Linked DNA regions of Saccharomyces cerevisiae S288C. The protein of the gene in region 2 binds, or shares a complex with, the protein of the main gene of each other region. Each region holds a gene or a part of one and is shown on either strand. Other genes may lie near its edges.

The links. Proteins that work in one complex are often made in the same cells at the same time.
Region 1: RSC2 (region 2) and RSC3 share a complex: the UniProt entries of both Saccharomyces cerevisiae proteins name them as parts of the two forms of the RSC complex.

What each region holds. Positions count from the first base shown.
Region 1 is NC_001136.10:1,068,170-1,073,189, forward strand, and holds RSC3 (Rsc3p), read right to left. Parts: upstream 3,218-5,020; coding exon 560-3,217; downstream 1-559. Other genes in the region: mannose-ethanolamine phosphotransferase GPI11, read left to right, coding at 1-221; peptidylprolyl isomerase family protein CPR5, read right to left, coding at 3,711-4,388; HNT2 (bis(5'-adenosyl)-triphosphatase), read right to left, coding at 4,577-5,020. UniProt on the Saccharomyces cerevisiae protein: Component of the chromatin structure-remodeling complex (RSC), which is involved in transcription regulation and nucleosome positioning. RSC is responsible for the transfer of a histone octamer from a nucleosome core particle to naked DNA.
Region 2 is NC_001144.5:839,442-844,500, forward strand, and holds RSC2 (Rsc2p), read left to right. Parts: upstream 1-1,889; coding exon 1,890-4,559; downstream 4,560-5,059. Other genes in the region: ATG33 (Atg33p), read left to right, coding at 880-1,473; YLR358C (uncharacterized protein), read right to left, coding at 4,046-4,609; adenylosuccinase ADE13, read left to right, coding at 4,841-5,059. UniProt on the Saccharomyces cerevisiae protein: Component of the chromatin structure remodeling complex (RSC), which is involved in transcription regulation and nucleosome positioning. RSC is responsible for the transfer of a histone octamer from a nucleosome core particle to naked DNA.

The sequences.
Region 1 (5,020 bases), on a different chromosome or scaffold from region 2:
TTGCATTTTTAGCATACCCTGCAGTTTATTCTGTATTTAATTGTGATTTCAAAGTGGGATTATGGAAGAAGTATTTTATCTTTATCGTTGTAGGGGGTTGGATTAGTTGTGTTGTCATTCCTTTGGATTGGGATAGAGATTGGCAGAATTGGCCAATTCCTATTGTTGTTGGAGGTTATTTGGGCGCTTTGGTGGGCTATACTATCGGTGCCTATATATAATATCGGTAATTTAAAAATTTGTATATAAAAAAATATAAGTATGATAGAGGTAACATAAACTGGTCCTATGCACAATTGAAAAATCTATGACAAAAACTAAATGATCTTTATACCAAACCCACCTATATGCTATTTGTACCATCTTAAAAGAAGGTAATAACTTCCATACAGATAAATAGCTAACAACATTAAATATCTCCCACTCTCCTCATTCTTTTCTTTTCATAATTTCCTTTTTCTGATTTATTCATTCTATATAAAAAAATAATACAAATCCTCAGATTAAATAATAAATACTATAAAAGTCTCAACTTCTTCTTTAATTTGTTTGAGTCGCTTTAGCTACGAATAGCCTCAAAAACTTCGTTGAAATTCTCCTTTGTTAAACCGAAAGTATCCGAATTTGCGTCGCTATCAACAGGAGCTGCTGCGCCTAAAACTCCATTAGAAACTGTGCTATTTTTCCTCTGTTCATAAAAATCCGTTTTTATCAGAGATTCTGAAATTTTACTCAACTCGTGATTTAATTTAATCAACTGCTCTGCAGATATGCCAGAAAATCCGTTATTAATGGAATAATTTGAATCGGCGCTAGTCGTTACCTTATTCTCCTCAAGATTTTTGATATACTTGGAGATTGTCTTAATTTTAATAATCAGATTTTCGATGAGTTTATTTTGCTTTTTACAATTCTTGGTATAATCACTTAACAACATTGCAATTTTGTTGATAATTAAATGAATAACATTTTTATTCTTTATTCTCTTACTATTGTCGTTATTACTATGAATATCTGTTTGCTCACTGATTTCATTAGCATCATTCGTCCTCTTTGAAGAATCAAAAGACCTTTGATAGAGCGCCAAAAGCATTAAAACTAAAGTTTGCAGAACCACAATAGATTTATTGATGAATGTGAATTCATGACCAGCAAATTTAATATTGGCTAAGTTCGAGAAAACAAAGAACAAGGTCTCCCTCGACAATTCCAAAAAGTCTTCCAAAATTTCGTTAAATTTAGCATAATTTTTCAATGTTTCAAATTGCAATAAGAGGTAAAAGTTCAAATATAACATTGAATTCCTGTAGATTAGAGAATCCATGATATTATTAATTATTGAAGGAGTCGTTAAACATCCTTGGCTGACCTCGATATTCTTATTTTTCAAAAGCTTGATTAACTGTATAATTTTATCAATGGATAGTTGTTGATCTTTACTTTGCAAATATTTCATCAAGTTTACTTCAAAATCAATCAATTCAAAATCGTTGTTCAACAAAGGATCAATAATTGGGGTAGAATTTGTGAAAGGTTCAGACATTAGCAACGGCAATTGACCTAAGAAAAGGTGTCTCCAGCAGTAGTTCTTAAATATGAAATTCCAGGTCAAAATATGAGATTGATTTTGAGTTTCATGATTTAACGATAGTAAACATGCCATATGCATATCTTCGTCGTAATCAATTACGAAAGAGGACGATGACGACGTGTCCATCACAAATTGGTAATATTTCCACAAAGAAATAAACCGCAGGGTCTCTATATTACACATTGACCTTTTTTCAATTTCAAATCTAAGCGTTGTTAAATTAGACTTCAACAAAGGCAAGTAGTTGAATAACACATTGAATAATTGCAAGTGTTCATCATCTCTAAGAGGAATCAAAACCGTAGAATTCAACGATTCAAAAAGAATCAGGAGACAGAGAGTAATAAATCCTAGATTTAGTAGCTGATCATTGGTCACACTAAAAACTTGAAAAATAGTTTCAAAATCTTTAGAATTTGGCTTATTAATGGTGTTAGAAGGAAAAAGCTGCTCAACTATGGGTAATAGTCTCTTTGGTTTTAATATTGGAAGTATTGAATTCGTTTCCGTTATCGTGGATAAGTATTTGTTGATAAGGGTCTGTGTTATCGATTGTGAAGGAAACTTTAATATTTGAGATATGCCACTGTTGCGCTCAATACTGTTACGGCTTGCTACCAAATCGTGCAAAGGTCCATTAAATTGCGTTTCAATTAATATATTCAAGTCATTGAAGAATTTGAATAGGAAAGGATCACGTTCAATCAAATACTGAATCTGGAAGATAGAACTTTTATTTATATTTTTTGGTAACAGCCATAATCTGTTTCTACCTTCTTCTGAAATAGCAGAATTAAACACATTAAAAACTTTATTAGTATCCAAAAATTGAGGATCTAAATCCTTAAATTCATTAAGATGAGGTCTTCTTTCACTCTCTGGAATTGGCTTACCGTCCCCGTCCGTAACGCCGTCTTCACTCAGTTTTCTTTTCTTAATTGTCAAAAACTCCTCTTGGTTTCTATTGGAGTGTGAAGACTGCATTTGCGCTGAGGAATCCTGCTTGAGATCAAGATTTACTCCCGTAATTTTCTTACCTGTAATTTCTTGCAATTCCAGTAGTCTGCCTTTCAAGAAATTCATTTCATGATTGATGATTTCATCTTGTGTGTAAGGAGAGGTTAGCATATGAAAAATTGCAGGGCCTTGAACCCAATTGAGTGGAGTAGAAGATTCGTTTGCAGAAGTGACTGGCTTACTTTCCAAGGAAGGCACTGATTTTGGAATATATTGAGTGTGTTGTTGATTCAAGGTTGCATTTGCCGCAGATGATCTATTATTAAGTTGATTTTGAGCATTGAGCAGTTGCAGACGCGTGTTGTATTCTCTTATTTGCTCCAAAGAAGCCAGTTCTGGATTTTTCTGCAAAAGTGCAGCAGTTTCCTTGGAGACACGACGAGAAGCGTAATAAGAGTTTAAGTACGGACCGTTGGCTACTTGGCGTGTATTGGAAGAGGAAGAACTAGAGGGAACGTATTGTCCGGGAACGTCCGGATAAAAGCAGTCCATTTTATTATGCTTCATACAGTTCCCACAAATCGGCTTAACACGATCGCAGCCTATCTTCCTCTTACGGCACTGCACGCATGCAGGCGGTTTTTTCATTTTTCTACCACGAATATCCATCGTTGTTTTTTGGTTCTGAAATGCTATTTTTGTAGATAAGAGCTTAAGAAAATATCACAGAAACCTCGATTTTAAATATCTGCGTAGTATGGGGCAATTGCAGCAGAGCACCAATGACTTTGGTTTGAAAGCCGTGAGTTTTGATGAAATAATCTAATGTAAGCAGCTAATATATCTTCTCGGGCGAAAACGGGAAAGTGGTCTTACAAGCGTCTAACGGGCCGAATGAATATTGGTGAACTATGGCTATTTGCGAGAAGGTATAGCAGTGGAAGTGTCCAGAAAGCAGTATGTTCCTAATAATAAAGGTAGTTCTTGGTCTGTGTGATCCCAGCTGGTCAACAAGACCCACGTTGGTCAATTGAAATACTCTTGTGAAGTTGTGCCAGAAAAGGGCCATAGGGTAACATACTCGTTCTATGTGATAATCAACTGTTATAAGCACTATATAGTTACATAGCTGGCCTATACATCTCCTGAATAGTGATGCAGTTTAGAGTTCATCGTGGGCTGCTTCGCTAGCTTCCGCTTTGATCTCTTCCTGTAGCTTGGCGGCGTCTTTATTGTCCAAAGGAACAGTTTCCAGTTCACCACTTTCCACAATAATAACTTCCTTTACAGGCATATTTCTACTGTCGGTCTTAACGTTTTCAATGTAGTGAACTACGTCCATACCATCCAAGACTTCTCCAAAGACAACGTGCTTACCGTCCAACCATGGGCATGGGACGGTGGTGATGAAAAATTGGGATCCGTTGGTGTTTTTACCACGATTGGCCATAGACAATCTGCCTGGTTTGTCATGTTTGACATCAAAATTCTCATCTTTGAACGTGTTTCCGAAGATAGACTTACCCCCAATACCTGATCTGTGAGTGAAATCGCCACCTTGAATCATGAAGTTAGGAATAACGCGATGGAAGATAGAGTTCAAATAACCCATCTTAGGGTCCCTGGAAATGGTCAACTGGTAAAAGTTTTCAACGGTTTGGGGTGTGGTGAGACCATACAATCCCATAACAATTCTACCAATTTGTTTATCACCGTGATTAATGTCAAAGTAGACCTTGTGTGTGATCTCAGGATCTTCTGCCGTGTCCTCTTTCGCAAAAATGGCTGTTGTGAAGAGACAAGCAAATAAGGTAATAAAGGAAAAAAATTGAAGCTTCATAATTGCGGATATCGCTGTGCCTTTTGTTTATTGAATTGAAAGTAACCTTTACTGTTGAGTCTCCTCGAGGAAAGTAGTAAGGATGGTTTCATCTTTTTTTTCCTCTGCTAAAAGGGATTCGCTGCGAAACGAAAATTAACTTCCCTACTATTTTTTATATCGTAAGTATGAATCTATTATTTATTGAACTATAACCATTGTGTTAAACCAGGATCAGAAGATACAAATTCTTCTAGTCTGGCTTGAAGATCCTCAGCTTCTTTTTTCATTTCGGTTAAAGCTCGAACCTTCCTTTGACTGTCTGGCTTCAAGACATTAGGACCTTGTGAGAGTTCATCCCCGTCTACAGTGGCCGATGTAGAGTTATTTTTTCTTGCTTGCCTACCACCAACACCCAAATATTCGTCTCTTCTTCCTTGCCAATCAGTCAAAGTCCCATTACCATCCCAATGATCTAATTTATCGTATATTAAATCCCCTACATTGTTTATTTTATAACGTGGAATAATGTGTGTATGCAAGTGGGGTACCGACTGTCCGGCCTCAGGTCCATCTTGGATGGCAACGTTGATAGAGTCAGCCTTATATTGCCACTTAATAAATCTATGTATTAACTGTAAAGTCTTGAAATA
Region 2 (5,059 bases):
TTCTTGTACGATTAATTATTTTTTTTTTGCGTCCTACAGCGTGATGAAAATTTCGCCTGCTGCAAGATGAGCGGGAACGGGCGAAATGTGCACGCGCACAACTTACGAAACGCGGATGAGTCACTGACAGCCACCGCAGAGGTTCTGACTCCTACTGAGCTCTATTGGAGGTGGCAGAACCGGTACCGGAGGAGACCGCTATAACCGGTTTGAATTTATTGTCACAGTGTCACATCAGCGGCAACTCAGAAGTTTGACAGCAAGCAAGTTCATCATTCGAACTAGCCTTATTGTTTTAGTTCAGTGACAGCGAACTGCCGTACTCGATGCTTTATTTCTCACGGTAGAGCGGAAGAACAGATAGGGGCAGCGTGAGAAGAGTTAGAAAGTAAATTTTTATCACGTCTGAAGTATTCTTATTCATAGGAAATTTTGCAAGGTTTTTTAGCTCAATAACGGGCTAAGTTATATAAGGTGTTCACGCGATTTTCTTGTTATGTATACCTCTTCTCTGAGGAATGGTACTACTGTCCTGATGTAGGCTCCTTAAATTGGTGGGCAAGAATAACTTATCGATATTTTGTATATTGGTCTTGGAGTTCACCACGTAATGCCTGTTTAAGACCATCAGTTAACTCTAGTATTATTTGGTCTTGGCTACTGGCCGTTTGCTATTATTCAAGTCTTTTGTGCCTTCCCGTCGGGTAAGGGAGTTATTTAGGGATACAGAATCTAACGAAAACTAAATCTCAATGATTAACTCCATTTAATCCTTTTTTGAAAGGCAAAAGAGGTCCCTTGTTCACTTACAACGTTCTTAGCCAAATTCGCTTATCACTTACTACTTCACGATATACAGAAGTAAAAACATATAAAAAGATGTCTGTTTGTTTAGCCATCACAAAAGGTATCGCAGTTTCTTCTATAGGCCTCTACTCTGGTCTTTTGGCTTCCGCTTCATTGATTACATCTACTACTCCACTAGAGGTTTTAACAGGATCCCTTACTCCCACTTTAACCACTTTGAAAAATGCGGCCACCGCCTTGGGAGCGTTTGCGTCAACTTTCTTTTGTGTGAGCTTTTTCGGCGCTCCTCCCTCATTGAGACACCCCTACTTACTCTATGGTATGCTTGTAGCTCCATTATCTTCATTTGTTCTAGGATGTGCCTCCAACTATCAGTCTAGAAAGTACAGTAAAGTCTCTAAGGAATCTTCTTTATTTCCCGAAGACAGCAAACTCGCTGCTTCCGAACTGAGCGATTCTATTATTGATTTAGGTGAAGACAACCATGCTTCAGAAAATACACCTCGAGACGGGAAGCCTGCAGCAACCACAGTATCAAAGCCGGCAGAGGCATTGCACACCGGTCCCCCAATCCATACTAAAAATCTAATTGCAGCAACTGCTATTGCTATTGTTGGCTTTGTACAAGCCGTTATTGGCGTTTATGGGGAAGGACAATTTATCTAGTGTTTCTCGTTCACGTATTTATCTCTACAAGAATTTGTAGCTGCCTGAACTCGGCTCCTCTCTCTCTCCAAAAATAAAGTGTGTAGTAATTTGCAGTTTTTTTATATATTCCTACGAGTTTTCAAACGTTCAAAAGACAGTATGTTCAAAAATTGTGCATACACACACGTATGCACATATATACATAATAATACACTGTAATAAGCACATTTGTAGGTGCTCTTGCACTTGGTTTATTACTGTCACTGACTTTTCTCACCCGGCCGAGAGTCGTGCGAAAATTCGCATGTTAAAGTGAGAAAATAGAGAAAACAACACAGCTGAAAAAAGTATTGGTAACAGTTCAATACGTGATCAAATATACAGCACGTCGCGCAGAACCAGACGAAGCGGAGAATATTCTACATTGACAGTGCATGATGCCTGATGACAATTCAAACTCGTCCACTCAAAACTCAAGCGCATTATACAAGGACCTGAGGAAAGAATATGAATCTCTTTTCACTTTAAAGGAAGATTCTGGGTTAGAGATTTCACCAATATTCAATGTCCTTCCACCTAAAAAGGATTATCCTGACTACTACGCAGTGATCAAGAACCCTGTATCTTTCAATACTTTAAAAAAGCGTATTCCACATTATACAGATGCTCAACAGTTTATGAACGATGTTGTCCAGATTCCATGGAATGCCAAGACTTACAATACAAGAGATTCAGGAATTTATAAATACGCCTTAGTCCTTGAGAAATATTTAAAGGACACAATCTATCCAAATTTAAAAGAAAAATATCCTCAATTAGTGTATCCTGATTTGGGTCCTCTACCCGATGAACCAGGTTATGAAGAGTTTCAACAGAAATTAAGAGAAAAAGCTGAGGAAGTAGCGAGAGCTAATGCAGCCAGAGCCGAGTCGAGCTCTTCAATGAATTCAACAGAAGCAGCCAGAAGATTAAGAAAGACTCGTACTTCCGTCAAAAGAGAATCAGAACCAGGAACCGATACAAATAATGATGAGGACTATGAGGCGACGGATATGGATATCGATAACCCTAAGGATGCTGATTTTCCTGATTTGATAAGAAAGCCACTAATAAATATTAATCCATATACTCGGAAACCATTAAGAGACAACAGGTCCACTACTCCATCTCACTCAGGCACCCCTCAGCCGTTAGGCCCAAGGCATAGACAGGTATCCAGAACTCAGGTAAAGCGTGGGAGACCCCCAATCATCGACTTACCGTATATTCAAAGAATGAAAAATGTTATGAAAGTACTAAAAAAAGAGGTGCTAGATAGTGGAATTGGTCTAACTGATCTTTTTGAAAGATTGCCCGATAGACACAGAGATGCAAATTACTACATCATGATTGCTAATCCAATTAGTCTTCAAGACATAAATAAAAAGGTAAAGACTCGTCGTTATAAAACGTTCCAGGAGTTCCAGAATGATTTTAATCTTATGTTAACCAACTTTAGAATTTCGCACAGAGGTGATCCTGAAAGCATAAAAATTTCAAATATCTTAGAAAAGACCTTTACTAGTCTGGCAAGATTCGAACTATCCAAACCTGATAGAAGTTTCATTCCAGAAGGCGAGCTAAGATACCCTCTAGATGAAGTCATTGTAAATAATATATCATACCACGTGGGAGATTGGGCACTTCTTCGAAATCAAAATGATCCTCAAAAACCTATAGTGGGCCAAATATTCAGGCTATGGAAGACACCAGATGGGAAACAATGGTTAAACGCTTGTTGGTATTACAGACCCGAACAAACTGTGCATAGAGTGGATAGATTGTTTTACAAAAACGAAGTTATGAAAACAGGTCAGTACCGTGATCATTTAGTGTCAAACTTAGTTGGGAAATGCTATGTGATTCACTTTACTAGATATCAACGTGGTAATCCCGATATGAAATTGGAGGGTCCCTTGTTCGTTTGCGAATTCCGTTATAATGAATCCGATAAAATTTTTAACAAGATTAGAACCTGGAAGGCTTGCTTACCAGAGGAAATTCGTGATTTGGACGAAGCTACCATTCCGGTAAATGGTAGAAAGTTCTTCAAATATCCTTCCCCCATAAGACATCTACTACCAGCTAATGCAACGCCGCATGATCGCGTTCCTGAACCAACGATGGGATCCCCGGACGCGCCACCATTGGTCGGTGCCGTTTATATGAGACCTAAAATGCAGCGTGACGATTTGGGGGAATATGCAACCTCTGATGACTGTCCCAGGTATATTATCAGACCCAACGATTCTCCCGAAGAGGGACAAGTGGATATAGAAACAGGTACGATCACCACAAACACGCCAACAGCAAATGCTCTTCCTAAAACAGGATACTCAAGTAGTAAACTATCCAGTTTAAGATATAACAGGTCATCTATGTCTTTAGAAAACCAAAATGCTATTGGCCAGCAACAAATACCACTGTCAAGAGTTGGTTCCCCTGGCGCGGGAGGCCCGCTTACTGTACAAGGTTTAAAGCAACACCAATTGCAAAGGTTACAACAGCAGCAACATCAATACCAACAACAGAAAAGATCCCAAGCATCACGTTATAATATCCCAACAATAATCGATGATTTAACATCGCAGGCATCAAGAGGTAATTTGGGTAATATAATGATCGATGCAGCCTCCTCGTTTGTCTTACCTATCTCTATAACCAAAAACGTAGATGTTTTGCAGCGTACTGATCTGCACAGCCAAACCAAGAGATCTGGAAGAGAAGAGATGTTTCCATGGAAAAAAACAAAGGGTGAAATATTATGGTTCAGAGGACCTAGTGTGATAGTAAATGAACGAATAATAAATTCAGGTGACCCACACCTAAGCCTGCCACTGAATAGGTGGTTTACCACTAACAAGAAAAGAAAACTAGAATACGAAGAAGTTGAAGAAACCATGGAAGATGTGACTGGAAAGGACAAAGATGATGATGGCTTAGAACCGGATGTTGAAAATGAGAAAGAGTCCTTGCCAGGCCCATTTGTCCTTGGATTAAGACCCTCGGCTAAGTTCACGGCGCACAGACTCTCTATGCTGCGGCCTCCTTCGTCGTCTTCATGATCACCTTTATTGTAAAAGCAATGGCAGCATAATATCTTCCCATTGCGCATTACCCTCCGCGAGCAGAGTCAAACTTCAAACAAAGCAGGAAAATGAAATAAAACAGAAGTTATTATATAGAAGAAAGTCATCTATAGATATATTATCGTTGTATTAATAGTAGCCATATAAAACAATTATACTTCATCACCAACCTCTCAAAATTTCTTCCCCAAGGACCAAAGCTTTTCCAGTAAGTTGCTACAACTAAAGTGAAATAAACTATCCGAATTATATAAAAGATGCCTGACTATGACAATTACACTACGCCATTGTCTTCTAGATATGCCTCCAAGGAAATGTCAGCAACGTTTTCTTTGAGAAACAGATTTTCCACATGGAGAAAACTATGGTTAAATTTGGCTATTGCTGAGAAGGAATTGGGCTTAACTGTTGTTACAGATGAAGCAATTGAGCAAATGCGCAAACACGTCGAAATCACTGATGATGAAATCGCAAAA